4 linked regions of the Anolis sagrei genome follow. The protein of the gene in region 1 interacts with the protein of each later gene in a pairwise test. Links are inferred from orthologs where the notes say so. Each region holds a gene or a part of one and is shown in the gene's direction. Other genes may lie near its edges. The genes, in order: NAB2, MORF4L1, TCHP and NEDD9.

Region 1 (7,120 bases):
GATCCATCATTGTTTGAGTCTACAGTGCTTTCTGGGTGTAGGTGAACTACAACTCCAAAATTCAAGGTCAACGTCCACCAAACCCTTCCAGTATGTTCTGTTGGTCATGGGAGTTCTGTGTGCCAAGTTTGGTTCAATGCCATCGTTGGTGGAATTCAGAATGCTCCTTGATTCTAGGTAAACTATAAATCCCAGCAACTGCAACTCCCAAATGACAAAATCAAGCCCGCACCCCACCAGTATTCAAATTTTGGTGTTTCGAGTATTTGTGCCAAATTTGGTCTAGTGAATAAAATACATCCTGCATATGTGATGTTTACATTACGATTCATTTGTTGTTCATTCGTTCAGTCGTCTCCGACTCTTCGTGACCTCCTGGACCAGCCCACGCCAGAGCTCCCTGTCAGCTGTCACCACCCCCAGCTCCTTCAAGGTCAGTCCAGTCACTTCAAGGATGCCATCCATCCATCTTGCCCTTGGTCGGCCCCTCTTCCTTTTGCCTTCCACTTTCCCCAGCATGATTGTCTTCTTTAGGCTTTGCTGTCTCCTCATGATGTGGCCAAAGTACTTCAACTTCGTCTCTAGTATCCTTCCTTCCAGAGAGCAGTCGGGCTTTATTTCCTGGAGGATGGACTGGTTGGATCTTCTCGCAGTCCAAGGCACTCTCAGCACTTTCCTCCAGCACCACAGCTCAAAAGCATCGATCTTCCTTCGCTCAGCCTTCCCTAAGGTCCAGCTCTCACATCCGTAGGTTACTACAGGGAATACCATGGCTTTGACTAGGCGGATCTTTGTTGCCAGTGTGGTGTCTCTACTCTTTATTATTTTATTGAGATTGGACATTGCTCTCCTCCCAAGAAGTAAGCATCTCCTGATTTCCTGGCCACAGTCTGCATCTGCAGTAATCTTTGCACCTAGAAATACGAAGTCTGTCACGGTCTCCACATTTTCTCCCTCTATTTTCCAGTTGTCAGTCATTCTTGTTGCCATAATCTTGGTTTTTTTGATGTTTAGCTGCAACCCGGCTTTTGCGCTTTCTTCTTTCACCTTGATTAGAAGGCTCCTCAGCTCCTCCTTGCTTTCGGCCATCAGAGTGGTGTCATCTGCATATCTGAGGTTGTTAATGTTCCTTCCAGCAATTTTCACCCTAGCTTTGCATTCATCCAGCCCCGCACATCGCATGATGTGTTCTGCATACAAGTTTAAAAGGTTGGGTGAGAGGATGCAGCCTTGCCGTACGCCTTTCCCAATCTTGAACCAGTCTGTTGTTCCGTGGTCAGTTCTGACTGTTGCTACTTGGTCCTTGTACAGATTCCTCAGGAGAGAGACAAGGTGGCTTGGTATGCCCATCCCACCAAGAACTTGCCACAATTTATTATGATCCACCCAGTCAAAGGCTTTAGAATAGTCAATGAAGCAGAAGTAGATGTTTTTCTGAAACTCCCTGCCTTTCTCCATTATCCAGCGGATATTGGCAATCTGGTCTCTCGTTCCTCTGCCTTTTCTAAACCCAGCTTGAACATCTGGCAACTCTCGCTCCATGTATTGCTGGAGTCTTCCTTGCAGGATCTTGAGCATTACCTTACTGGCATGAGAAATAAGGGCCACTGTACGGAAGTTTGAGCAGTCTTTCGCATTTCCCTTTTTTGGTATGGGGATATAAGTTGATTTTTTCCAGTCTGATGGCCATTCTTGTGTTTTCCATATTTGCTGGCAAATGGCATGCATCACCTTGACACCATCATCTTTTAAGATTTTAAACAGTTCAGCTGGGATCCCATCATCTCCTGCTGCCTTGTTGTTAGCAATGCTTCTTAAGGCCCATTCAACCTCACTCCTCAGGATGTCTGGCTCTAATTCATTCACCACACCGTCAAAGCTATCCTCGATATTGTTATCCTTCCTATACAGATCTTCTGTATAGTCTCGCCACCTTCTCTTGATCTCTTCAGCTTCTGTTAGGTCCCTGCCATCTTTGTTTCTTATCATACCAATTTTTGCCTGAAATTTACCTCCAATGTTTCTAATTTTCTGGAAGAGGTCTCTTGTCCTTCCTATTCTGTTGTCTTCTTCCACTTCCATGCATTGCTTATTTAAAAATAGTTCCTTATCTCTTCTGGCTAACCTCTGGAATTGCGCATTTAACTGGGCATATCTCCCCTTTTCACTGTTTCCTTTTGCTTTCTTGGGCTACTTCCAGTGTCTCAGCAGACAACCATTTTGCCTTCTTGGTTTTCTTTTTCTTTGGAACGTACTTTGTTGCCGCCTCCTGAACAATGTCGCGGACTTCTGTCCATAGTTCTTCTGGGACTCTGTTTACTAAATCTAGTCCTTCAAATCTGTTCTTCACTTCCACTGTATATTCGCTAGGAATGTTAGTGAGATCATATCTAACTGGTCTGTGTATTTTCCCTGATCTCTTTAGTTTTATTCTAAATTGGGCAATAAGAAGTTCATGATCTGAGCTACAGTCAGCCCCAGGTCTTGTTTTCACCGACTGGATAGATGTCCGCCACCTTTGGCTGCAAAGGATGTAGTCAATCTGATTTCGGTGCTGACCATCTGGTAAGGTCCATGTATAAAGCCGTCTTTTAGGTTGTTGGAAGAGAGTATTCGTTATACACAGCGAGTTTTCCTGGCAGAATTCTATCAGCCTGCGTCCCGCTTCGTTTTGTTCTCCCAGACCATGCTTGCCTGTGATCCCTGTTGTCATTTGACTTCCCACCTTGGCATTCCAGTCTCCTGTAATGAAAATAATGTCTCTTTTTGGTGTATTATCCAGTAGGTCCTGCAGATCCTCATAGAACTGATCTACTTCTGCTTCTTCAGCTGCTGTGGTTGGGGCGTATATTTGGATCACTGTGATGTTGAGAGGCTTTCCTTGCACTCGAATTGAGATCATTCTGTCATTTTTGGGTTGTATCCAAGCACTGCTTTAGCGAATTTCTTATTAATTATGAAGGCTACTCCATTTCTTCGATGTTCCTCTTGTCCGCAGTAGTAGATCTGGTGGTCATCTGATGTGAAGTGGCCCATTCCAGTCCATTTCAGTTCGCTGACCCCCAGAATGTCTATCTTTAGTCTTGACATCTCACCAATAACAACATCCAATTTGCCCTGGCTCATAGATCTTACATTCCAGGTTCCTATGGTGTGTTGATCTTTAGAGCATCGGATTCGTCGTTCACCTCCAGTACCGTCGGCCGCTAGCCTTCCTTTCGGCTTTGAGCTAGCTGCGTCATCACATCTGGGGCTAGTTGAACTTATCCTCTGCTCCTCCCCAGTAGCATTTTGGCCATCTTCCGACCTGGGAGTCCCATCTTCCAATGGCATACCGACATATCTCTGGTTGTACTGGTCCATTTAGTTTTCTTGGCAAGGATACTGGAGTGGTTTGCCATTGCCTTCCCCAGGGATCACGCTTGGTCTGACCTCTCTGCCACAACCGTCCCGTCTTGGGTGGCCCTTCACGGTTTCGCTCATGACATCATTGAGGTGCTCAAGCTCCAGCGCCCCGACAAGGCGGTGATCCTTTGCTGGAGATTCATTACGATTCATAACAGGAGCAAAATGACAGTGATGAAGTAGCAACAAAAATAGTTTTATGGTTGGGGGTCACCACAACATGAGGAACTGTATTAAGGGGTCGCGGCATTGGGAAGGTTGAGAAACACTGCTCTAGAACATGGTCATATAGCCCGAAAAAAATTATAAGAACCCAAAGCCCTTTTTGGTAAATATGCATAAGAATGTGGGGGAGGAATCCCTCAGCCTACTCCTATCTTGAGTCTAGCTCCTCATTGTGGACTGGAGACTTGATGTGACAAGAGACTTGTGCAGAGCAGGGATGAGACCCAAAACATCTGAAGGAGCACCGTTTGAGAACCACTGGTTCACATGTTTTGCTCTGAGTTGGATTACATGAGTCTACACTGCCAAAGCAGATCATCTGGATGTTCGATGTCAGTGTGGAAAGGGCCTTTGTAGCCTTCTCTGCCTGCCCACGAGGGCTGGAATCTCTCCAAACTCCCCCTGATGCCAAACTGCATGAACCGGACAGTGTGTGGCTGCAGCTCCTTCCCTTCACTTCCCTCCCTTCAGTGCTGCTGCTGCTTCTTCCGCCCACGAGCCTCCCACGCGCCACTGAGGCAGAGCAGCAGCAGCACAAGCAACGCGGAGCCATTGTAAATCCGGCGGCGTGGGAGGCAACTCCGTGCCAAAGGCTGAGCGCACAGAGAGAGGGAGGGAGGGAGAGGCGAGGAGGAGGAGGAGGAGGAAGAAGGAGAAGGGGAGGAGGAGGGAAGGAAGGAAGAGCAGAGAGAGCGATTGAGAAAGAGAGCGATTGAGAGAGAGCTTCCACGGACAGAAGAGGGGACCAAAAGCGGCGTCGGATGCCTTGCGCCCTCGGAGAGAAGAGCAAGAGGAAGGCGCCTCCTGCAGGGCGAGCCAACCCCTTGGCCCATGCCCCACCCGCGGCCTCGGAAGGGAGCCACGCAAGAAACCCGTGAGTGCCTTTGGGAGGAGGGGGAAGGGAGAGCGAGTTAGGACACCCCTCTACACGGTGGAACTGATGCAGCTCCACACCGCTTGAGCTGCCCTGGCTCCATGCAGAGGCATCATAGTTCTCTCCTCCTCTGGGGCTGATCGGCCCTCTATTCCAGCATCTGATCCCAAGTTTTCTCCTTTAAACCGGATTATGTGAGTCCACACAGCCAGATAATCTGGGATAAACAGAAAACCGAAAACCTGGGATAGAGGGCCTGTCTGGAAGAGTCCACACTGCCAGATAATCCAGTTCAATGTGGATTTTATGCAGCTGTGTAGAAGGGGCTTAAGCAACAAATGCAAGAGGAAGTCAGTTAAACAAAACTATGTGTGTATATATGTGTGTGTGTGTGTGTGTGTGTGTGTGTTTGTGAATGTATATGTGTGTGTGTGTGTGTGTGTGTGTGTATATATATATATATATATATATATATATATATATATATATATTTGTGTATGTGGGTGTGTGTGAATAATTCAGTTGGGAGAGACGACAGGGGCCATATAGTCCATCCCCCCTGCCATGCAGGAAAAGCACCATCAAAGTACCCCTGATAGATGGCCATCCAGCCTCTATTTAAAAGCTTCCACCACATTCCGAAGCAGAAAGTCCCACTGCTGAATAGACATAAATATACAGTAGATTTGTCAATATAGAAAGATGAAGATGGGGAAGCGGACCTCGGGGTAGAAAATGAGGACATCAGTAGAGAGGCCACATTTTTCCAAGCACTGATTATAAACTCATGGAACCCCCGGTAGCGCAATGGGTTTAAACCCTTGTGCCGGCAGGACTGCTGACCAAAAGGTCACAGTTCGAATCTGGGGAGCAGGGTGAGCTCCTATCTGTCAGCTTCAGCTTCCCAAGCAGGGACATGAGAGAAGCCTCCCACAGGATAGTAAAAATATCTGGGTGTCTCCTGGGCAACATCCTTGCAGACAGACATCTCACTTCTCACATCAGAAGTGACTTGCAGTTTCTCAAGTCACTCCTGACATGAAAAAAAAGTTTAATTTAGAAGCTGTTTTGGGAAGTGAAGTAGTTAGGTAGTTTTAGACTGGGCTTCATGGTCTTATACTAGGAGGTGCTTAAAAGGAAGACCACTCATGACCCCTTTTTACCCAATAATGTTTCATATGACCTGGCTATAGATGTATGTCAAATTGATGTGAACACTAAACATTTACTGTGGCTGGATGTCCATCTGTCGGGGGTGCTTTAATTGTGTTTTTCCTGCATGGCAAAGAGTTGGACTAGATGACCCATGTGGTCTCTTCCAACTCTACGATTCTGTGACAAAATCTGCATTTGCAAGGCTTGCTAAGCAGACTGATTTCCCCTTTTTGTGATGTACAACTAAAGCATCTTCTGCAGAGTCCACTGTGAACACTGCACATTTTTGCTAACAGAATACTGTTTTTTAAACTGTAGGTCCTGATCCCAAATGGGGACCCCTTAGCTCAGTGTTGGAATCACAAAAAATGGGCAACAGCGAAACATATCTGAACCATGTGCAATGTTTACAACAATGTGCAATGTTTACAGTTGGGCTGGTTGTGCAGAAAATGCTTCAGCTGTCCTCCAAAAAAGGAAAAGTCAGTGCTCTAGATTAGTGATTCTCAACCTATGGTCCTCCCAGTTGTTTTGGACTTCAACTCCCAGATATCCTAGCCATCTTACCAGGTGTTAGGAATTGTAGGAACTGAAGTCCAAGGCTGAATCTATACCGCCCTATATTCCAGGATCTAATCTCAGGTTATCTGTTTATCCCAGATTATTTGGCAGTGTAGACTCAGATAATCCAGTTCAAAGCAGATAATTGGGATCAGATCCTGGGATATAGGGCAGTGTAGATCCAGCCCAGGATACCAGGAGGACCAAAGATTGGGAAGCACTGCTCAAGGTGGTTTTGCAACTCCCATCATTCTTTATTAGCTCTCCTGGCTGCTGAGACTTGCAACTTCATGGCACCTGAAGGGCAACATTTTTCCCACTCCAGTCCAGCAGGCTCCTCCCTGTTCAGATGTGTATTTACTTTACTGTATTACTTCCAAATATGGTTTAAGGGACATGTGCCATTCTCTTAAACGGGGCCACAGAATTCTGCCCCTAAAGCCCTCCTAAAGCATTTTGGCAAGCATGATATGTAATGGTGAGAGGAAAGGCAATGGTGGGAGTGGGCTGCTGCCTTCCCCGTCTCTTACAAACTACCACCACCAAAAGCATTCCTTCTCAACCTTCTTAATACAGTTCCTCATGTTGTGGTGACCCCCAACCATAAAAATATTTTCATTGCTACTTCATAATGGTAATTTTGCTACTGTTATGAATCATCATGTAAATATCTGATATGCAGGATCTATTTTCATTCACTGGACCAAATTTGGCACAAATATCCGATACACCCAAATTTTAATACTGGTGAGGTTGGGAAGGATTGATTTTGTCATTTGGGCATTGTAGTTGCTAGGATTTATAGTTCACCTACAATCAAAGCGCATTCTGAACTCCACCAACAATTGAATTGAACCAGGCTTGGCACACGGAACTCCCATGACCAACAGAAAATACTGG
Region 2 (7,372 bases), on another chromosome or scaffold:
CTAGCTCAAACCACAGAACCCCCTGCTGTGATCCTAGTGGGAATGATTATGGAAAAACTCTGGTGCATGCACATTGCAAAAGAAATGCACTTTGGCACCACTTTAACTGTCTTGGTGGAATGCTGTGGCATCCTGGGAGGCTTTGGAAGGCAAAGACCAGCCCTTGCTGTGCAAAACTTGCCTAGAAAACTTTTTTTTTCCTGGGGAGGAATACAGAAAGAAAGCGAGAGGCTTGGCACACCAGGGAGGGATTCAGGGGGCTTCTGCGTGCAAGGCTTCTCTCCCCCTCCGCGCCCTCTGCGCATGCTCCGGGGACCCCTTGCCCCCCCCACCCCACCTCCAGGTCTCCCTCCCCTCTTTGGCAATCTCAAGGGGCCCGGACCCACCAGCGGAGGATGCGGCGAAGGCGGCCAGGAGGAGCGCCGGGAGGAGGCGTTGGGCCATGGCCGGGAGGGTCGGGGGTCTCTCTCTTCCTAGCTGCTGGACCCAGGAAGAAGAGAAGGAGGAGGAGGAGGAAGACCCCCGGCCCCCTCCATGCCGGCCGAGGCACGGCTCTGCGAGGGAGGAGGAGGAGGAGGAAGAAGGCTCCTTCGGCCACTCCTGCCGGGACCCTGCGGGACGGAAAGGGGAGGGGCCAAAGGGGAGGGGGAGGGGCTCAAGGGGACCCCAACCTCCTCCTGACACGCCCCTCCCACCCCCACCCCCCATGAGGAGGCACCGCAGCCCCGAAAGAGAAGGAAAGAGGCTCCTCTTCTTCCTCTTTTCTCTTCGTCTTCTTCTTTGTCCTCTTCCTTTTCCTCCTCCTCCTTCTTCCCCATCTTTCTCTTCTTCCACATATTCTTCCTCCTCTTCTTTCTTTTCCTCCTCCTCTTCCTCTTTTTCCTCCTCTTCTTTCCCTTCTTCCTCTTTCTTCCTCATCTTCTCTGTCTTCTTCCTTTTACTCCTTCCTCTTCCTCCTTTTCTACCACATTTTTCTCTTTCTCTGCTTCTTCCTTTTCCTTCGTTCTCTCCCTCTTCTTTTTCCACCTCCTCTTCTTTGTCCTTGTCCCTTTCCTCCTTCTCTTCTTCTTTCTTCCCTCTTATTCCTCCTCTTCCTTTTCACTTATTTCTCCTCTTTCTCTTCTTTCTTTTCCTCTTCTTCTTCCTCTTTCTCCTCCTCTTTTTCCTCCTCATCTTTGTCATCCTTTTACTCCTTTCTCTTCCTCCTTTTCTACCTCATCTTGGTCCCCTTCCCCTTCTTCCCTTCCCTTCTTTCTCTCCCTCTTCTTTTTCTTCCTCCTCCTATTCCTTCTGTTCTTCCTCCTCCTCCTCTACTTTGTCCTCTTCCCTTTCCTCCTTCCTCATCTTTCTCTTCTTCCACTTCTTCCTCCTCCTTTTCCTCCTCTTCTTCTTTCTCTTTTTTCTCCCCTCTTCCTCTTCTTCTTCCTTTTCACTTCTTCCTCCTCTTCTTTCTTTTCCTTCTCTTCTTCCTCTATCTCGTCCTCCTTCCTCTCCTTCTTCTTCTTCTTTTTTGTGCTTTTCCTTTTACTCCTTCCTCTTCCTTTTTTCCCCTCCTTGTAAGCTTGGCCATCTGTTGGGAGTTCTTTGTGCTTTTCCTGCATGGCAGGGGGTTGGACTAGGTGGCCAGGTGGTTTTTTTCAGTTCTATTATTCTATGATTATTCTTTCTCTTCTTCTTCCTCTTTTTCTTTTTCCTTCTTCTTCCTCCTCTTTTTCTTCTTCCTCCTTTTCCTCCTCTTCCTCCATTCTTTTACATCCTCCTTCCTCTTCCCAGGACTAGCAGAAAACACTGTTTGGCAATCCCTCTGGCACCCTCCTTGTGACCCCCAGATTGAGAAACCCTGGTGTAGATGTACCCATTGTCCCAATTTAAGCCATTGTTGTTGTTTATTAATTGAGTCACTTCTGACTCTTTGTGACCTCATCAACCAGCCCATGCCAGACCTCCCTGTCGGCCGTCTCCACCACCAGCTCCTTCAAGGTCAAGGATACCATCCATCCATCTTGCCCTTGGTCGGCCCCTCTTCCTTTTTTCTTCCATTTTCCCCAGCATAATGGTCTTCTCTAAGCTTTCTTGTCTTTTCATTATGTGGCCAAAATACTTCATCTTTGCCTCTAATATCCTTCCCTCCAATGAGCAGTCGGGCTTTATTTCCTGAAGTATGGACTGGTTGGGTCTTCTCATGGTCTAAGGCACTCTCAGAATTTTCCTCCAACACCACAGTTCAAAAGCGCCTCTCTTCCTTCGCTCAGCCTTCCTTCTGGTCCAGCTCTCACAACCGTAGGTGACTACGGGGAACACCATTGCTTTAACTATGCGGATCTTTGTTGTCAGTGTGATGTCTCTACTCTTCACTATTTTATCAAGATTGGCCATTGCTCTCCTCCCAAGAAATAAGCATCTCCTGATTTCCTGGCTGCAGTCTGCATCTGCATTCATCTTTGCATCTAGAAATACAAAGTCTATCACTGCCTCCATGTTTTCTCCCTCTATTTACCAGTTATCACCCAGTCCGGTTGCCATAATCTTGGTGCTTTTGATGTTTAAGGGCAACCCAGCTTTTGCCCTTTCTTCTTTCAACTTGGTTAGAAGGCTCCTCAGCTCCTCCTCGCTTTTAGCCATCAAAGTGGTATCATCTGCATACCTAAGGTTGTTAATATTTCTTCTAGCAATTTTAACCCCAGCCTTGCATTCGTCAAGCCCTGCATATCACGTGGTGAGTTCTACATACAAGTTGAATAAGTCAGGTGAGAGTAGACAGCCCTGCTGTATGCCTTTCCCAATCATGAACCAATCTGTTGTTCCATGATCAGTTCTTACTGTTGCTACTTGGTCCTTATACAGATTCCTCAGGAGAGAGACAAGGTGGCTTGGTATGCCCATGCCACAAAGAACTTTCCACAATTTATTATGATCCACACAGTCAAAGGCTTTAGAATAGTCAATAAACAGAAATAAATGTTTTTCTGAAAAGCCCTGCCTTCCTCCATTATCCAGCATCTGGATATTGGCAATTTGGTCTCTTGTTCCTCTGCCTTTTCTAAAGCCAGCTTGTCTTTACTTAGGCGATCCCTCGTTGGACGAGGGTCTTCCATGATCAGCATTCTTGTGGATCCGTAGGTGGCTGTGGAGCCCTATTCTTGACCTGCATCTTCTCCCACAGTGAGGGCATTGGTTTCCAGGTGGAAGGCGATCTCAGTCAGGGTTGGCTTGACACGCTTTCCTCTTGGCATGTTTCTCTCTTTCACCCTCCATTTCTGCCTCTTCAAATTCTGCAGCACTGCTGGTCACAGCTGATCTCCAACTGGAGCGCTCAAGGGCCAGGGCTTCCCAGTTCTCAGTGTCTACTTACTTTACTTAGGCGATCCTTCGTTTTCCGAGGAGGATTGTCTTCCAGTATTCTTGTGGGACTGTATGTGGCTGTAGAGCCCTATTCTTGCTCTGCATCTTCTTCTGCAGTGAGGACATTGGTTTCTAGGTGGAAGGTGGTCTTGGTCGGGGTTGGCTTGACGCACCTTCCTCCTGGCACATTTCTCTCTTTCACCCTCCATCTGTGCCTCTTCAAATTCTGCAGCACTGCTGGTCACAGCTGATCTCCAACTGGAGCGCTCAAGGGCCAGGGCTTCCCAGTTCTCAGTGTCTACTTACTTTACTTAGGCGATCCTTCGTTTTCCAAGGAGGATTGTCTTCCAGTATTCTTGTGGGACTGTATGTGACTGTAGAGCCCTATTCTTGCTCTGCATCTTCTTCTGCAGTGAGGACATTGGTTTCTAGATGGAAGGTGGTCTTGGTCGGGGTTGGCTTGACGCGCCTTCCTCCTGACACATTTCTCTCTTTCACCCTCTTCAAATTCTGCAGCACTGCTGGTCACAGCTGACTTCCAGCTGGAGCGCTCAAGGGCCAGGGCTTCCCAGTTCTCAGTGTCTATGCCAGAGATTTTAAGGTTGGCTTTGAGCCCATTAAAGATGGGCCAGCTTGTCCATCTGGCAACTCTCTCTGTGTGTCTTGCTGGAGTCTTCCTTGCAGGATCTTGAGCATGAGAAATAGTCATAGGACACATCAAAGCTTCCTTGATGCAAAAGTGCCCTCTGGCGGCACAAGGAAGAAAGGTGCTTGTCTTTGATAAAAAAGCAACGATTTCGAGGCACACAACCAAGATAAAGGAGTAGTGAGTGTTATTATTTTCCTGTTCAGGCCTGGGCAAACTCCGGCCCTCCAGTTGTTTTGGACTTCAACTCCCTTTCCCCCCTCAGATCGCTTAAGACTACTGAGACCGGCATGCCTCGCGCGAGGGAGGGAGGGAGGGAGGCGGAGGCGAGTCGGGCTCCCGTTTACTGCGCACGCGCGCCTCAGGCCCCTCCTACTCTCTGGCCCGGACTGCGCCTGCGCGGGCGAGCAAGCGGGGCGGAGGCGGAGCCGCGTATAAATGGCGCCCAAGCAGGACCCGAAGCCCAAATTCCAGGAGGGTGAGGGGGCCGCCGGGGGAGGGAGGCCAGGGGTAGCCGGGGCACGCTGGTGGGCACACTTATTTCCCCTCAGGAAGGAGGAGGAAGGCCTTCTCAGGGAAGGGCACCCCCTTTGAGGGGCCTCTCAGCCAGCCAAGGAGGCCTACACGCTCCCCTGGGATGGGAGGCCTTCTGCCTTCCACAGAATAGCATTTCCTTTGTGGAGGATGCATCCCTTCCTCTCGTTCTCCTCACAGACCTTCTCCCCTTCTCTTCTCCCTTTCCCCTCTCCCTCCCTCCCTTTTCATCTTCCTTTGCTGTCCCTCCTCCACCTTCTTCCTCTTCCTTTCCTCGTATCTTTTCCCCTTTCTATTCAGTTCCTGCCCTCGTTTTTTCTTTTTTCCACCATCCCTCCCTTTCTTTCCCTTCTCTTTCTCTCTTTTTTCTCTTCCTCCCCTTCATTCTCTCTCTCTTTCTTCCTTCCCTTTCCCATTCATCTCATCCCCTTCTCTTTCTCTCTCCCTCCCCTTCGTTCTCTCTCTCTTTCTTCCTTGTCTTTTCCATTCATCTCCTTCTCTTTCTCCTTCTCTCCCTCCCCTTCTTTTTCCATCTCTTTTCTCTTTTTCTCTCCCTCCTTTTTTCTCTTTCTTTCCTCCCTTTCTCTTTTCTCTCCTCTCCCTTTCTTTCTCTTCTATTTCTCTCTTTTTTCTCTCCCTCCCCTTCATTCTCTCTCTCTTTCTTCCTTTCCTTTCCCATTCATCTCATCCCCTTCTCTTTCTCTCTCCCTCCCCTTCCTTTTCCCTCTTTCTTCCTTGTCTTTTCCATTCATCTCCTTCTCTTTCTCCTTCTGTCCCTCCCCTTCTTTTTCCATCTCTTTTTCTCTGCCTCCTTTTTTCTTTCTTTCCTTTCCTTTCCTTCCTCCCTTTCTCTTTTCTCGCCTCTCCCTTTCTTTCCCTTCTATTTTCCTCTTTTTTATCTCCCCTTCCTTTTCTCTCTCTCTTCCTTCTCTTTTCCATTCATCCCTTTCTCTCTCCTTCTCACCCTCCCTCCCCTTCTTTTTTTCTCTTTTCTCTCCCTTCTTTTTTCTTTCCTTCCTTCCTTCCTTCCTCCCTCTTTTCTCCCTTTCTTTCCCTTCTTTTTCCTTTTTTCTCTTCCTCCCCCTCCCTCCCCTTCCTTTTCTCTCTCTCTTCCTCCCTTCTCTTTCGCTCTCCTTCTCTCCCTCCCCTTCTTTTCCCCTCTCTTTTCTCTCCCTTCTTTTTTCTTTCCTTCCTTCCTCTTTTCTCCCTTTCTTTCCCTTCTTTTTCTCTTTTTTCTCTTCCTCCCCCTCCCTCCCCTTCCTTTTCTCTCTCTCTTCCTCCCTTCTCTTTTCCATTCATCCCCTTCTCTTTCGCTCTCCTTCTCTTCCTCCCCTTCTTTTCCCCTCTCTTTTCTTTTTCTCTCCCTCCTTTTTTCTTTCTTTCCTTCCTTTCTCTTTTCTCTCCTCTACTTTTCTTTCCCTCTTTTCTCTCTCTTCCATCTCTTTTCCTCCCACCCTTCGCTTTCTCTCCTTCTCACCCTCCCTCCCCTTCTTTTCCCCTTTTCTCTTTTTCTCTCCCTCCTTTTTTCTTTCTTTCCTTCCTTCCATCCTTCCTTCCTTCCTCTTTTCTCTCCTTTTCTTTCCCTTCTTTCTCTTTTCTCTCTCCCTTCTCCTTCCTCCCCTTCCTTTTCTCTTTTCTCGTCTTTTCTCCCTTCTTTCTTTCCTTTCTTTGTCTCTCCTCTTCCTCCCTTCTCTTTTCCATTCATCACCTTCTCTCTCTCTTTCTCTCCTTCTTTTCCTCCCCTTCTTTTCTTTCTTTTTTCTCCCTCCTTTTTTCTTTCTTTCTTTCTTTCCTTCCTTTCTCTTTTCTCTCCTCTCCCTTTCTTTCTTTCCTTCTTTCTTTCTCTCTTCTCTTTTCCCTCCCTTCCTTCTCCCCTCGTTTCTCTCTCTTCTCTCCTCTCTCCCTTTCTTTTCCATTTGTCCCCGTCTCTCTCTACTTTTCTTCCTTTCTTTCCCTTCCTTTTTTCTTTCTCTCATTCTCTCCCTCCCATCTCCTTTCCGTTAATCTCTTTCTCATTTTCTTCTCTCCCTTTCTTTCTCCTCTCCCTTCCTCTTTCCTTTCCATTTGTTTCTTTTCTCCCTCTCTTCCTTTCCCTTCTTGCTCTCTAGTCTCTCCCTTCTCCTTTCCATTTGTCTCTTTCTCTCCTTCTTTGTCCCCTCCCCTTTTCTCTCTTTCTACTCCTTCTCTCCATCCCTTCTCCTTTCCGTTTCTTCCCTTCTCTCTCTCCTTCTCTGCCTCTCCCTTCCTTTCTTCCTCTGGATTGTATGCCATGAAGCATTTGTATGTCATGTTGGTCCATCTCCATCAAGCTATAAAGGGAGTCTTTGTAGTACCAATACACATACATAGACATATAGATATATATCTCAATACATATATGAATGATAGAATATATAAAGCATAGAGTGCCTCCACATCAGGCACGGGCAAACTTGGACCCCCCAGGTGTTTTGGTCTTCAACTCCCACAATTCCTAACAGGCTGTTAGGAATTGTGGAAGTTGAAGTCCAAAACACCTGAAGGGCCCAAGTTTGCCCGTGCCTGATATACAATGTAGAATGAATGCAGTCTGACCCTATTTTAATATTTGACAATTTGGGGGCAGTAATCTCCCGAGGGAGAGCCTGAGTTGGCCACATTATTATTGTTACTTATAGTATTGAGATAATCAGAGAAAACTACCAAAACTTTATTGAAAAAATAAATATGAAAACACAAGACAGTTAAGCATTTGTTAAAAGAAAATTATTGAACACTATTAAAAGGCAACATGTCCTTGATTCCTAGTGGCAGATAGCAAAGCCCTGCCTGTCTTTGAGAGCAGAAGTCGAAATATACCACTGCCTTAGG
Region 3 (7,965 bases), on another chromosome or scaffold:
CATGTGTGCGCGCGCGTCGGGGAGTTTGCGCCAGTGCGCATGCTCAGTTGTTTTGCCGTTTTTTGTGGTTGTTGTTGTGTGGTTTTGATTTCTGAGTGGATTAGTTTGTACCTAGTGGGTTGTCCTTGGGGCATGGCAATTTTGGTACAGTTTTGTGGAGAGGTTTTAGAGTTTTGCTTCCCCGTTGGACGCCAGTAGGAAATTTATATATATAGATAATATGATAGTAATATAATAATATAATCTATATATTTATATCTATTCTATCTATATCTATATCTATATAATAAAAGTCAGTGTTTGGGGCAGGTTGGATCATGGATGATAGGATTTGCAGTGTTTTCAAATGCTTCAGCACCCACAGACCACCAGCCCACAACAATGAGAGATCAGGACCAAGCTTGGCACACAGAGCCCCCATGACCCACTCTACATCCTGGTGCGGTTTGAAGGAGGATGGACCATGGATTATGGGACTTGCAGTACATTCATTTACTTCTGGAGATCCCTGCGACCTACATCAATGACAGATCACGACCAAACGTGGTACACAGAACCCCCATGACCCAGTCTATATCCTGGTGAAGCTGATAGAAGCTTTAGGAGGGTCTTCCCCAAAGGGAGGGACCCTGAGACCGTACCAAAAAGGGTCCGCTACTTTGGCGAGCCAGAGAAAGCCTGATTTCAGCAATTTTGTTGAGATTAAAATTCAAAATAAGCTCACTGAAAGTCGAAGAAAGGCACCGAGGTGGTTTTATTTGCGATTCAGCTGAAAAGGATGCTAAGTAGCGATAATTCGTCTACAGAGCATACCAGTACAGAGATCAGAGGCATTTTTATAGGAATTTCCAGGTTTGAAAGTTCAAAATTCCCGCCCCCAGCCCTCCGCCCGGCTCGCCAGTGATTGGCTGATGAGATTCCAGCTGGGAGGAGGCACGGCCGGCCGCCCTGCTTCAATGCCAATCACGGAGCTCCCCCGCTTCACAGGGGCCATTGGGAAAACTTTCCACGCTTCAGCGCCTTGGCGAATCAGGAGAAGGGAGGCGGGACGAAACAGAAACAATGAGCCGGCGAATGAATCAATGGGTGCGATGCCCACCCTATTGTCCTTGAGTGGATTTGCGATGATCTTTGATTACCTTTATCCTGGTCTCCAGCCACAATCAGATAAGGCACAAAGGGTGGCTTGGGGAAATGTCTGGTTTATGAATGGAGTAAGCAAAATTGGGAAGGCGACCCCCCAAGGATCGTCTCGCTCCTATTGTGAAGATGGCCAAAGGTTTGCCAAGGACATTCCAGACTGATGGCCATAATCCTGGAACCACATGGAGATTCCAGGTCTTATTGTCCACGCCAAAGTTCTGGGATATGTGTTTCTTTGTTGCCTCTGATTGCCTTTCCAACAGCTGGCCGCTTCCTTGAGGTGACTCTCCTACTATGAAGGGGCGAGGGGTGGGGTGCCAAGGAAAAATACTTGGGAAAAGAAACAGGAATCCAGATAAATTCATGTCAACCTCCCTTCTCTCCCCCCACCTGCCAGAGAAATTGGTTAATATAATTTTATTAAGACGTGAGTCCATGGTTCATGTGGGGCAATTCATATGTAGGGAATGAGTTCATAGGAGCAAGAAAAGGGGATTAAAGAAAGCCAAAAAGTCTCAAAAAGGTGTCTGATCATTTCCACTGAGCCAAAGGATGGATTCCAGCAATGTCAAGATCAAGTTGGTCTTTTGTCCTTGGGGAACTATAACTCCTTCCAAGGACTTGGGCCTCCAGGCCAGGCTCTTCCCCGTGAGCCTTATGGGGTAACCACACCAAGTATTCGGGGGCATGGGTCTGGCGGAGGCGATGAGATGGCGGGGCGCAGCAGCGCAGAAGTAACGGAGCCAGCTTTTTGACAATCAGCTGTTCCTCGCAAAATATATTCTTAAATTGGTTATTTCCCGAGTGTAGAAGTCCAAAAGGCAAAAAGCGAGATAGCAGATAGGGTTAGAATTAAGCTAGGAAAAATATGCCACCGAAATGGGGGCGTTTGGCCATCTCGCGGATGACTCAGAGGGGAAGACTCAGTATCCGCGGTTAGAAAAGTGCAGATTCGGCCTCCCCGGAATGCCAGGAAGGCATTCCGGGCAAGCCTGCAGTCTCCTGCGGCCTGGGAAAGATTATTTTCAAGCATTTAGATAGTTCAGGCAAGGAAAGAACCAAAGTATCAAGCTAGAGGGTTAAAAGTTGCAATTTCATAAATCTTTATTTGGGGTTTTGTTACAAAGTAGGGGCTGGGTAGGAAAGTGGGAAGAGAAAGCATAGGGCTGTTTTGAGTCCTGGTTGAGCTCGCTGTTGGGGCTCATTTAATCAGTTTGGCCCAATCCTTGCTTCCAGGAACTGCGGAAATCCCTGCTGCAGGTCAATTTAATTTAAAAGCAGAGGTCTGAGCTGCGCTCGGTATCACTGGTGCTATTTGGAGGAGGAGGATAAATTGATGATGGAACTTGCAGTACTTTCACTCACTTCTTGAGATCACTGTGACCATCAACAATGACAGATCAGGACCAAACTTGACACACAGAGCCCCCATGACGCACTCTACATGCTAGTGTGATTTGGAAGACTTTGGACCATGGATAATGGGACATGCAGTATCTTCATTCACTTCTAGAGACCACTGTGACCATCAACAATGACAGATCAGGACCAAACTTGACACACAGAGCCCCCATGATGCACTCTACATGCTAGTGTGATTTGGAAGACTTTGGATCATGGATAATGGGACATGCAGTATCTTCATTCACTTCTAGAGATCACTGTGACCATCAACAATGACAGATCAGGACCAAACTTGACACACAGAGCCCCCATGACGCACTCTACATGCTAGTGTGATTTGGAAGACTTTGGACCATGGATAATGGGACATGCAGTATCTTCATTCACTTCTAGAGACCACTGTGACCATCAACAATGACAGATCAGGACCAAACTTGACACACAGAGCCCCCATGATGCCCTCTACATGCTAGTGTGATTTGGAAGACTTTGGACCATGGATAATGGGACATGCAGTATCTTCATTCACTTCTAGAGACCACTGTGACCATCAACAATGACAGATCAGGACCAAACTTGACACACAGAGCCCCCATGACGCACTCTACATGCTAGTGTGATTTGGAAGACTTTGGACCATGGATAATGGGACATGCAGTATCTTCATTCACTTCTAGAGACCACTGTGACCCAAACCAATGACAGATCTTGGCACACATAGCCACCATGACTGACTTTACATCCTGGTGCGATTTGGAGGAGGACGTACCATGGACGATGTGACTTGCATATGGGAGTTGTAGTTCATCCACACCCACTGAACCCAGCCGACATTGGATCTAGGCGAAACTTGATATCTATTAAAATATAATAGGTTTATTTATAAGTCACTTAAATACAAATGCATTGGGTTTTATTCATTTCAAAGTGCTGACTTTAGCCTAGAAAGCCCTAAACCAGTGGTTCTCAACCTCCCTAATGCTGTGATCCCTTAATACAGTCCCTCATGTTGTTGTGACCCCCAACCATAATATTGTTTTCGTTGCTACTTCATAACAGTCATTTTACTACCGTTATGTATCATAATTTAAAAATCTGATATGCAGGGTGCATTTTCATTCACTGGGCACAAATACCCAATGCACACAAATGTGAATGCTAGTGGGGTTGGGGGAGGATTGATTTTGTAATTTGGGAGTTGTAGTTGCTGGGATTTATAGTTCACTTATAATCAAAGAGTATTCTAAACTCCACCAATGATTTGAACCAAACTTGGCTCCCATGACCAATGGAAAACACTGGAGGGGTTTGATGGGCATTGACCTTGAGTTTGGGAGTTGTAGTTCACCTATATCCAGAGAGCACTGCGGACTCATGCCATGGTGGATCTGGACCAAACTTGGCATGAATACTCAATATGCCCAAATGTGAACACTGGTGGAGTCTGGGGAAAATAGATCTTGACATTTGGGAGTTGTAGTTGCTGGGATTTATAGTTCATTACAATCAAAGAATATTCTGAACTCAACCAACGATAGAATTGGCTCAAACTTCCCACATGGAATCCCCATGACCATCACAAAATGCTGTGTTTTCTTATAGTCTTTGGCGACCCCTCTGACACCCCCTCGCGACCCCCTTAGGGGTCCTGACCCCCAGGTTGAGAAACACTGCCCTAAACGGTTCCGGTCCAGCTTCCCTGTCCAAACGTATCTCTCCTTATGAACCATCTAGGAATTTAAGATCGTTTGGGGAGGCCCTGCTCTCGATCCCGCCTTCTTTGCAGCTGCGGCTGGCGGGGACGAGAGACAGGGCCTTCTCAGTGGTGGCCCCTCGGCTGTGGAACTCCCTCCCTAGGGATATTAGATTGGCCCCCTCCCTCCTGACCTTCAAAAAAAATGAAAACATGGCTTTGTGAACAAACCTTTGGGAATGCAGTGCAATAGATAAACACGGAATTATGTAAGACTGAAACATGGAACGGCTTAGACGAAAGTGAGCTTAAGTGGAAGATATTGCTTATTATGTTTTTAATTGTTTTTGTATGGATTTTATAATTTTTTTTTTGTATTTTGTGAATTGTTATGGCATCGTCTTGCTGCCAATTTGTAAGCCGCCTTGAGTTGCCTTCAGGCTTGAGAAAGGCGGGATTAGAAATATCGTAAGCAAATAAATAAACAAATTTCACGCATAAGGGGAAAAACAACAACACTCCTATTAAGTGCTTTCCAATGGGAACCCGGAAGTGTAGGATGGGAGATCGCTTCCAATTATACTGAAGCCCTTTGTCGTTCTCAGTTCGCTTCGTGCTAGTGGATGGAAGGAAGGAAAGCGGTTCTTAAAGCGAGTGGCCACGCCCCCTTCGCGCGAAGGGAGAACAAGGAAAGGTTTCTCTCCCTCGTCGGCTTCCGTAGCTCCCAACCGGAAGTGTTGCTATGGCGACGCCAGAAGTGGGGAAACCGTTAAAAATGGCGATGAAGGAGGAGGAAAGACGGTAAAGCAGCAAGTTCCGAAAAAGGTACTTAATTATAAAAATATATATATTTAATTAAAATTGTTAATTAGTAACTGATAATTAATATATGTATGTGTATAACATAATAATCTCTAAAGGGTCTCCTGTATAATAATAATAATAATATAATAAAATATGATAATATAATTTTTAAAGTAATACAATAATAATATAAAATAACTATAATATAATATAATGTGATAATAAAATTTAAAGTAATTAATGTAATAGAATAATACAGTATAACATAATAATAGAATATATTATCTATATAAATAAATAAATGTAATGTTAGTTCGTGCTACCATCAGAACTCCAAAACCACTGGGGGAATTGACACCAAATTTGGACACAAGACACCTAACAGTCCAATTTATGTCCTCCACTAAAAAAAAATGATTTTGTCATTTGGGAATTGTCGTTGCTGGGATTTATAGTTCACCTACAATCAAAGAGCATTCTGAACTCCACCAATGATGGAATTGGGCCAAACTTGGCACACAGGGCTCCCATGACCAACAGAGAAAACTGGAAGGGTTTGGTGGACATTGACCTTGAGTTTGGGAATTATAGTTCACCCACATCCAGAGAGCACTGTGGACTCAAACAATGATGGATCTGGACCAAACTTGGCACGAATATTCCATATGCCCAAATATGAACACAGATGGAGTTTAAGGGAAATAGACCTTGACATTTGGGAGTTGTAGTTGCTGGGATTTATAGTTCACCTACAATCAAAGAGCATTCTGAACTCCACCAATGATGGAATTCAACCAAACATGGCATACAGGACTTCCATGACCAACAGAACACACTGGAAGGGTTTGGTGGGCATTGACCTTGAGTTTGGGAGTTGTAGTTCACCTACATCCAGAGAGCACTGTGGACTCAAACAATGATGGATCTGGACCAAACTTGACACAAAAATTCCATATGCCTAAATATGAACACAGATGGAGTTTGGAGGAAATAGACCTTGACATTTGGGATTTGTAGTTACTGGGATTTATAGTTCACTACAATTAAAGAGCATTCTGAAACCCACAAATGACAGAAATGGGGCAAACTTCCCACACAGAACCGCCATGACCAACAGAAAATACTTAAGGCCATCCAGTCCAACTCTCTTCACCAGACCATGAAAATGTAATCAGAGCCCTCCTGACAAAGAGCCATCCAGTCATAAATATAGATAGATAGATAGATAGATAGATATGATTCTCTCTCACACACATAGATATAGTATCACAGATTTTAAAGAGACCCGTAAAGAAGGACAATGATATGTTGCATGTTCCAGGGAGAGCAAATCAGACACTCTCCACATCACACCTTGAGTTTGGGAGTTGTAGTTCACGTACATCCAGAGAGCACTGTGGACTCAAACAATGAGGGATCTGGACCAAACTTGGCACAAACACTCAGTACGCCCAAATATGAACACAGATGGCGTTTGGGGGGAATAGACCTTGACATTTGGGGGTTGTAGTCACTGGCATTCACAGTTCACCTACAATCAATGAGCATTCTGAACCCCACGAACAGCAGAATTGGGGCAAACTTTCCACACAGAACCCCCATAACCAACAGAAAATACTTAAGACCATCCAATCCAACTCGCTTCATCAGGGCAAGAAAGTGTAATCAAAGTCCTCCTGACAAAGAGCCATCCAGCCATAAATATAGATAGATAGATAGATAGATAGATAGATAGATATGATTCACACACACACAGATATAGTATCATAGATTTGAAAGGGACCCTTAAAGAAGGACTATGATATGTTGCATATTCCAGAGTAGGCAAACCAGACACTCTCCACATCAACACTGACAAAGAAATAGCAAGAAATACTGTTTACCCACAAGCATAAAGAAATTACATATATTAGAAACCAACACTTTCCCATTACTTTATTTTCCAGATCAACAGACTGGGCCACAGCAACACGTGGTAGGGGACAGCTAGTAAATATAAGTGTGTGTGAATTGTATCTATCTGTTAATATCTGTGATTGGATGGCTCTTTGTCAGGAGGGCTTTGATTACGTTTTCTTGCTCTGGTGAAGAGAGTTGGTGGTCGGGACCCCTGGGGGGTGTCGCGAGGGGGTGTCAGAAGGATCACCAAAAACCACCAGAAAACACAGTATTTTCTATTGATCATGGGGGTTCTGTGTGGGAGGTTTGGTCCAATTCTATTGTTGGAGGGGTTCAGAATGTGCTTTGATTGTAGGTGAACTATAAATCCCAGTAACAACAACTCCCAAATGTTAAGATCTATTTCCCCCAAACTCCATCTGTGTTCATATTTGGCATATGGAGTATTCGTGCCAAGTTTGGTCTAAATCCCACCAACTACAACTCCCAAATAGCAAAAGCAATTTTTTTTAGTGATGGTCACTCCTTGGGTTAGTAGATGTCTTGTGGCCAAATTTGACGGAAATTCGTCCAGCGGATTTTGAGTTATGATGTCACTCAAAACAAACAGAGCATTAATATAGATAGATAGATAATAATATATAATATATAATAATAATATACAATAATAATATATAATAAAAGGAGCCCCACTGCCCGGATTCCAACGGCCAACCTTTCAGTCAGCACAGCAGGTTAAACAGTTGAGCTGCTGAACTTGCTGACTGAAAGATTAGCCATTGGAATCCGGGCAGTGGGGTGAGCTCTCGCTGTTAGCCCCAGCTTCTGCCGACCTAGCAGTTCTGGACCACATTTGGCACAGAGTCCCAACATTGCCTGGTTTTGGGGAAGATTGACCCACGATTCTGGGAATTGCAGTTCACCCACATCATTATATATTTCCTAATGGGAGCATTGATGAAAAAATAAATCAAAGACTGTTTTTTTCCTAATAAATAGTGTTACTAATTAACTAAATGATA
Region 4 (7,944 bases), on another chromosome or scaffold:
CTGGGATGTATAGTTCACCTACAATCAAAGAGCATTCTGAACTCCACCAATGATGGAATTGAACCAAATATGGCACACAGAACTCCCACGACAAACAGAAAATATATATATATCAATGATTGGTTGGAGGGGGGCACCAAAATACTGTTTGCTTACCGTTGAAAATTACCTAGGGCCGCCTCTGCCTACAAGCTTCCCAAACTCCAAAGAAAGGGACAATCCCTATAATAAGGGACAGCTGCCAGCCTTCCAGTAGGGTGACATGAAGTGGAAATTTCCACTTCTTACTCTTAGCAGATTGACTCCTTTGAATGTAACTGACTATTTTGCTCACAACGTATTACAATATGACCCCCATATCTGCAACACCAGTATAGGATTCCACTTATCAATTTTTGACAAAATATTGTATGTCTTCTCCAGGCATTTTCTGGGTCCTACAATGTGATTCTATGGTATTCTTGGGCCAGAAGTCTTATGTTTCAATAAAGTTCACTATTATCCATGATTTTGTGTGTCCATGTGAAATCTGGGAGTGTATCCACCATAGATATTGGAATCGAATTGTACTTCCAATCTTGGGGCAGACATGGATGAAGACCAAGAGACCCAAAAGGTTACTTTCTCTCTTATTAATTTGCCCACAAACTGTGATCTTTGTAAACTCAATGAGAGAAGAGGTTCCAGATATGAAATTCCCAAGAAGACCCCAACACTCATGACTTCAGGTGGGCAGCGAACCCACACTCTGATTTACTCCTTTTCCTTATAATGCATTTTTAAAAATTGCTATAATTTATGATTTAGTGATTTTTGATTTGGTTTATGTATGTAAGGTATTGAATTTTGTATATTTTGAATACTGTAGAATTTGAAGGGGCACGAATGGAGGGCGAAAGAGAAATGTGCCAAGAGGAAGGCGTGTCAAGCCAATCTGACCGGGACCGCCTTCCACCTGGAAACCAATGTCCTCACTGTGTATGCTGTTACGCCTGGGGTCTATAGATCTTAGTGAAAGATACATGGACGTGATATCTCTCCCCAGGGGATTGCTTCTTGCCCTCCTTTAGGAAACTGGAACTCCCAAGGACCAAAACACTGGATCTAACTCAAAATAGGTTTTATTGTTCACAAAGAGTTATCCCTTTAAGGCAATAAGCTGGAAGTTTCAAAGGGATAAAAGAAATATACATTGCAGTCTCTGGTTGTCTTGGGTCCAAGGAGACTTCGCAGCTGAGAAGCTTTTCCTGTTCCCTCTTTCTCAATGGCTGCAAATGCCTGAACATTCACAGCTCCAAATCCAAATGGCCTATATTTGAAGACACGAAGCCTTCCTCTGGTGCCACAGGATCGGTTTGAAGGCACTTGGGTCTCCTCAACGCTGTCCAGGGAGATCTGGGCATGAAGTATGAGTCCCAAGGGTAAAAACCTTAGAATTGGTGATTAGAGGTAACTTAATTAAAGGCTTTAGAGCCAAGTCTTTCTCATGTCCATCTGCTGAGATGTCTGATGGTAGAATGAAGAAAGAAACACTGCCCTGCTCTCTAGGAAGAGGTGGGGTCAAAACAATTGAGCAGGAGGAGCAATTCATCTGGTGCAAACAACATTGATTGACAGCTATAAATAACCAATCAATCCCACTATACATTTACAGAGAAAACAGATAAGTTGGGGCATGTTACACAGTTTAAACCTTTGCAAATTAAAGTTCTACACACAGGTGGCGCCACTTGTGCCGTCACACTGTGGGAGAAGATGTAGGTGGCTCCACAACCACCTACGGACCCACTGCCAGAACACTGACCTTGGAGGACCATCATCCTTGGACTACGAGGGATCACCTAAGTAAGTAAGAAAGTAAGTAAGTAAAAACTGCTATAATTTATGATTTAGTGATTTATGATTTGGTTTATGTATGTAAGGTATTGAATTTTGCCCTTATTTTTTGTAAACCGCTTTGAGTCCCCCGTCCCCATCCCCCCCGGTTGAGAAAAGTGGTATATAAATACGGTAAATAAACAGATAAACAATAAAATAAGCATAATTTGAATGGGTATGTTGCTGTTCTTTTGTATTTTGTAAGCTGACTTTTATTAGTTTCAAAAAATGATCTTTACAAATAAATTATATAATAATAAAAAAGCCAGGTTCCCTCCACCAAGCCTATCTGCTCTGCAACAGAATCCTTGTACAGTAATCTGGTAACAGAATACAGCCTACTGTTCGTTTTTAGGCCGTTGGAAGCCATCCGAGTCCATCTGTGACTTAGAAACACTGGGGCAGGTCCAACTTGGTCAGAATAAAAGAAACAAAACGTTGAGCTCTCAGCAGCGGAATGCTTTGAGACTCAGACTGGAGATTTTTTTCAGTCCAAATCATTTTGTCTGGTTGGAGTTTCTCCCAGCTGAGATAGTGAATGTCTGGCCAGGAATCATTTCAACCTAATAAAGAGGCCCACTTATAAAGTATGGACATAGCAGGTCGTATTTGATTCATCTCTGCTTGCCTTTGAGTGAACTGAAGCACCTTGTCTTAAACTGGCACATCATTTTAAAAATTGCCAACAAGGGGGAGGGGGCATCTATATTGTTTGAAACCACCTTGCCCTCCAGCATCTAATCAACTCGTAAATAAAGAACTTGTCCCCATGCCAAAAGAAACATTTGACTTTTAATGTTATATTATGAGTGTTAGGGAGGAAAGGACAGAAGGAAATAATTAAGGTGTGTTGTGCAGAGACTATACTATTAACCAGGAAAATTTAAGATGCAAAAGTCGGTTGCTGAGTTTTTTTGGTTGTATGGCCATGTCCCAGCAGCATTCAATCCTGACGTTTTGCCTGTATCTGTGGCTGGCATCTTCAAAGGTGCACAACATCTGATTTCTGCCCTGAAAGCTTTCAACAAGTAAATTACTTATCATGAATTTTATTTACTTATTGTACATAGGAAAAACCCAAACAGCATTGCGGTTGTTCATTCATTCAGTCATTTCTGACTCTTTGTGATCTCATGGACCAGTCCACGCAAGAGCTCCCTGTCGGCCGTCACCTCCCCTAGCTCCTTCAGAGTCAAGCCAGTCACTTCAAGGATGCCATCCATCCATCTTGCCCTTGGTCGGCCCCTCTTCCTTTTTCCTTCCATTTTCCCCAGCATCATGGTCTTATCTAAGTTTTCCTTTCTTCTCATAATGTGGCCAAAGTACTTCATCTTGGCCTCTACTATCCTTCCCTCCTATGAGCAGTCAGGCTTTATTTCCTGAAGTATGGACTGATTGGATCTTCTGGCAGTCCAAGGCACTCTCAGAACCTTCCTCCAGCACCACAGTTCAAAAGCATCTATCTTTCTTCGCTCAGCCTTCCTTATGGTCCAGCTCTCACATCCATACGTGACTATGGGGAATACCATTGCTTTAACTATGCGGATCTTCGTTGCCAGTGTGATGTCTCTACTCTTCTATGTTTTATCGAGATTGGTCATTGCTCTTCTCCCAAGAAGTAAGCACCTCCTGATTTCCTGATTGCAGTCTGCATCTGTAGTAATCTTTGCACCTAGATTATATATTATTATATTACAGGACTGCTCCATTTTCTGAGTGGAGGCCAAAAGGAGGCACTAGACAAAGGATTGTCCATTTTATTGGGAGGAGGGTTGAAGAGTTAAACCATTTCCCCATTTTCCTGTTATTCTCTCCCTCTTTTGGATCTTTTTGAACTACAACTCCAGAACTCAAGGTCAATGCCTATCAAACCCTTCCAGTATTTTCCGTTGAGTTCGGTGTGCCACATTTGGTTCAATTCCATCGTTGGTGGAGTTCAGAATGCTCTTAGATTGTAGGTGAGCTATACATCCCAGCAACTACAACTCCCAAGTGACAAGGTCTGTTTCCCCCAAACTCCATCAGTGTTCATATTTGGGCATATTGAGTATTCATGCCAAATTTGGTCCAGCTCCATCATTGTTTGCGTCCACAGTGCTCTCTGGTTGTAGGTGAACTACAACTCCAAAACTCAAGGTCAGTGCCCACCAAACCCATCCAGTATTTTCTGTTGGTCAGGGGAGTTCTGTGCGCCAAGTTTGGTTCAATTCCATCGTTGGTGAAGTTGAGAATGCTCTTTGATTGTAGGTGAACTAGAAATCCCAGCAACTCCAACTTCCAAGTGACAAGGTCTGTTTTCCCCAAACTCCACCAGTGTTCACATTTGGGTATATTGAGGTTTGGTGCCAAATTTGGTCCAGATCTATCATTGTTTGAGTCTCTGGATGCAGGTGAACTACAACTCTAAAACTCAAGGTCAATGCCCAACAAACCCATCCAGTATTTTCTCTTGGTCAGGGGAGTTCTGCGTGCCAAGTTTGGTTCAATTCCATTGCTGGTGAAGTTCAGAATGCTCTTTGATTGTAGGTGAACTAGAAATCCCAGCAATTACAACTCCCAAATGACAAAATCAATCCCTCTCCCCAACCCCACCAGTATTCAAATTTGGGCGTGTCGAGTATTTGTGTCCAACTTGGTCCAGTGAATGAAAATACGTCTTGCATATGGGATATTCACATTATAATTCATAACAGTAGCAAAATTACAGTTGTGAAACAGCAACCAAAATAATTTTAGAGTTGGGGATCACCACAACATGAGGAACTGTATTAAGGGTGAGAAACACCGATATAGTTCAATCGTGAACCATGCAGGGTTATATGGCTGTGTGGAAGGGCTCTGGGTTTGGAAAACTTTCCTGGGCTCCTCCCCCTGCTCCTGCTCCCCCTCCCCCTCCCTTTCGTGCCAACGCAGAGCGCTAATGAATGACCCGTTCTAAAGGGGAGGCGGGGTCACCAGGAGGCATTCGCCCCCAGCTCAGGAACGTCTGGCGCGCTGGCCAATGGCGGAGAGGTATGCAAATGAGCCATCGCTTTGCCCCCTCCGCCAGGCAAACAATGCGCGGAGAGCGGCGGAGACTCCGAAGGGTGCTCGACCTCCGGCGGGAACGCGCCTCACTCCACACACGGGGACGCGCTTCGCTTCTAAGCGGGCAAAGGCTATGGTGGGCGAGGGGATCTCGCTGTAAAGCGGCCGGATTTCCCCCCAAAGACGCCCCTCATTAAGCTTGCGAGGATGAAGTACAAGGTAAGAAAACGGGAAGGAAAGTTTTGGCTTTTTGTCTAAGTTGGAAAAAAGCGCGCTGGGGCTTGGAAGGATTGCCCGGCTTCCTTCAATGGAAAAGGAAAGGCGAAGGAAGGAGAGAGATGATAGGTTGAGCCTGGTCTCCCTCCAAAGGATTGATTCCAAAGCTTTGAGCCATGGCAGGGAAAGTGGTGTCAAGCTGTTTTGATTCTACAGATGCCCTCACAGGGAAGGGAAAGGGCTGTCTCCAGAGTCAGCTTCCATCAATAACCTTCTTCATTCGACATGTTGCTTCATCACACTGGAGAAAAAATCCACTTAAAATCCGTTTTCTGCCTCCTACAGCATTCTAGGCTTTCTAGTTTAGGGAGGAGATTTTAACAGCCTCACTAAACTACAAACCTCAGTATTCTGCAGGAGGTAGAAACCGGATTTTAAGTGGATTTTTTTGTCTAGTGTGATGAGGAGTGAGCGTGAAGTTTCTAGCGCGGGCGACCTTTGCAGCACAGCAGGCGCGCTTCCTCCAGTCGCTTCCGTTCGGTTACTCCGGATTTAAGGTCGCTCTCAAGACCCAAGCTGATGTGATCGGAGCTCAGGCACTTTCTCCACTCCTTACCTGCGAGGAAAGAAGCCCTGTGGGGCTCAAGGGGACTTGACAGTCTAGGAATGCTTTGCTCAAGTCCTTATTTCTGAGCAAACAACATTTTTTTTTGTTCAAAGCTTTTATCAGAAATTCTTCCCCTTGTGTGTGTGTATGTTGGGAGGGAGGGCAAGCTGAGATCTGGGTTGTTGTGTATTTTCTTTAAACAGGGGCTGGATGGCCATCTGTCAGGGGTGATTTGAGTGCAATGTTCCTGCTTCTTGGCAGGGGGTTGGACTGGATGGCCCATGAGGTCTCTTCCAACTCTGATTCTATGATTCTATGATTCCGGGCAGTCTGGCCATGCTCCAGAAGCATTCTCTCCTGACGTTTCACCCACATCTGTGGCAGGCGTCTTCAGAGGTTGTGAGGTCTGTTGGAAACCAGGCAAGTGGGGTTTATATGTCTGTGGAATGTCCAGGTTGGGAGAAAGAACTCTTGTTTGCTTGAGGCAAGTGTGAATGTTGCAATTAGCTAGCTTGATTCACATATAATGGCCTTGCAGCTTCAAAGCCTGGCTGGTTGCTGCCTGGTTCTGTCTTCCACCCTGGACCTGTGAGTTTACCAAGCTGTCTGGCCATGTTCCAGAAGCATTCTTCCCTGACTTTTTGCCCACATCTATGGCAGGCATTCTCAGAGGTTTTGAGGTCTGTTGGAAACTTAGGCAAGTTGGGTTTATATACCTGTGGAATGTCTAGGGTGGGAGAAAGAACTTTTTTTTGATTGAGGCAAGCGTGAATGTTGTAATTGGCCAGCTTGATTTACATTTAATGGCCTTGCACCTTCAAAGCCTGGCAGGTTGCTGCCTGGTTCTTTCACCCACCCTGGACCTGTGATTTTCGGGGTTGTCTGGCCATGTTCCAGAAGCATTCTCCCCCGACTTTTTGCCCACATATATGGCAGGCATCCTCAAAAGTTGTAAGGTCTGTTGGAAACTTAGGCAAGTTGGGTTTATATACCTGTGGAATGTCCAGGGTGGGAGAAAGAACTCTTGTCTGATTGAGGCAAGTGCGAATGTAGCAATTGGCCACCCTGGTCATTCCACAGATACATAAACCCAACTTGCCTAGTTTCCACCAGCCCTGGCCCTTGAGTGCTCCAGCTGGAGGTCAGCTGTGACCAGCAGTGCTGTGGAGTTTGAAGAGGCACGAATGGAGGGCAAAAGAGAGAAACGTGCCAAGAGGAAGGCATGTCAAGCCAACCCTGACCAGGACTGCCTTCCACCTGGAAACCAATGCCCTCACTGCGGGAGAAGATGCAGATCAAGAACAGGGCCCCACAGTCACCTACGGACCCACCGACAGAACACCATCATCCTATGAGGGATCGCCTAAGTAAAGTAGTTTCCAACAGACCTCACAACCTCCGAGGATGTCTACCATAGATGCAGGTGAAATGTCAGGAGAGAATGCTTCTGGAACATGGCCTTACAGCCCGGAAAACACACAACACCCTAGTGATTCCGGCAATGAAAGCCATTGACAATACAAGTTGAGATCTTTTCTCGGAAGACTGACTCAAACATCCTTAAATACATGGCTTAGGGAAGGTGAGATTCAGACATTGCAAGAATGTTTTGTGAATTTTTCTTCTTGTTCTCTGCTGCCTTTGAGTTAAAGTTGAAAGACCTCCAAGTCAGCCTGTCCTCAAGGTCTTGCAGACCCAGGGTTGTGGCTTCTCGGATTGAGAACTACTCCAAAGATCAACACAGGCAGTCCCCAAGTTTCGAACAAGATTGGCTCTGTAGGCTTGTTCTTCAGTTGGATTTGTATGTAAGTTGAAACAAGGACATGTTTAAAGTGTAACTCCAGCCAAAACTATTTTTTTTCCAAAGCTTTGGATCGCATCGGTAAGGGTTAATACCCCTGTGGGGTTTGTTTTGCTGCCTGTGCCCCTGTTCAGAAGATTTCGCCTCATTTTCCAACCCTGGGATACTTTGATTTTGAAAAAATAGCTTGTTGTGGAAACAAGGACTGGTGAGAAAGCTTCAGTGAAGACATCTTTTCCCGCATGATAACTCTTTCAGGAGCAAATTTCCCATTTTAGGGGCAGTTTTCTCTGACGTCCTGTTTTCCTACGCCCATTTTTAACTATGAGTAGAATGTACGTTGGACGTTTGTAACTCGGAGATTTGCTGAACATGGACCCTACAGCAAATGAAGTCTCAACTCTCCCTAGAAGTC

The links.
Region 2: the proteins of NAB2 (region 1) and MORF4L1 interact in binary tests that used the Homo sapiens proteins (3 or more experiments, as listed by UniProt). The two-hybrid records come from large-scale screens. The link is inferred for Anolis sagrei from reciprocal best matches to the Homo sapiens genes NAB2 and MORF4L1.
Region 3: the proteins of NAB2 (region 1) and TCHP interact in binary tests that used the Homo sapiens proteins (3 or more experiments, as listed by UniProt). The two-hybrid records come from large-scale screens. The link is inferred for Anolis sagrei from reciprocal best matches to the Homo sapiens genes NAB2 and TCHP.
Region 4: the proteins of NAB2 (region 1) and NEDD9 interact in binary tests that used the Homo sapiens proteins (3 or more experiments, as listed by UniProt). The two-hybrid records come from large-scale screens. The link is inferred for Anolis sagrei from reciprocal best matches to the Homo sapiens genes NAB2 and NEDD9.

What each region holds. Positions count from the first base shown.
Region 1 is NC_090022.1:184,057,051-184,064,170, forward strand, and holds the start of NAB2 (NGFI-A-binding protein 2), read left to right. Parts: upstream 1-4,108; 5' UTR 4,109-4,391; coding exon 4,392-4,504; intron 4,505-7,120. UniProt on the Homo sapiens protein: Acts as a transcriptional repressor for zinc finger transcription factors EGR1 and EGR2. Isoform 2 lacks repression ability.
Region 2 is NC_090029.1:23,454,223-23,461,594, forward strand, and holds the start of MORF4L1 (mortality factor 4-like protein 1), read left to right. Parts: upstream 1-4,355; 5' UTR 4,356-4,426; coding exon 4,427-4,466; intron 4,467-7,372. Other genes in the region: ADAMTS7 (A disintegrin and metalloproteinase with thrombospondin motifs 7), read right to left, coding at 387-444. UniProt on the Homo sapiens protein: Component of the NuA4 histone acetyltransferase (HAT) complex which is involved in transcriptional activation of select genes principally by acetylation of nucleosomal histones H4 and H2A.
Region 3 is NC_090034.1:61,406,247-61,414,211, reverse strand, and holds the start of TCHP (trichoplein keratin filament-binding protein), read left to right. Parts: upstream 1-4,957; 5' UTR 4,958-5,065; intron 5,066-7,965. UniProt on the Homo sapiens protein: Tumor suppressor which has the ability to inhibit cell growth and be pro-apoptotic during cell stress. Inhibits cell growth in bladder and prostate cancer cells by a down-regulation of HSPB1 by inhibiting its phosphorylation.
Region 4 is NC_090024.1:83,014,633-83,022,576, forward strand, and holds the start of NEDD9 (enhancer of filamentation 1), read left to right. Parts: upstream 1-4,927; 5' UTR 4,928-5,112; coding exon of another isoform or gene 5,113-5,124; intron 5,125-7,944. UniProt on the Homo sapiens protein: Scaffolding protein which plays a central coordinating role for tyrosine-kinase-based signaling related to cell adhesion. As a focal adhesion protein, plays a role in embryonic fibroblast migration.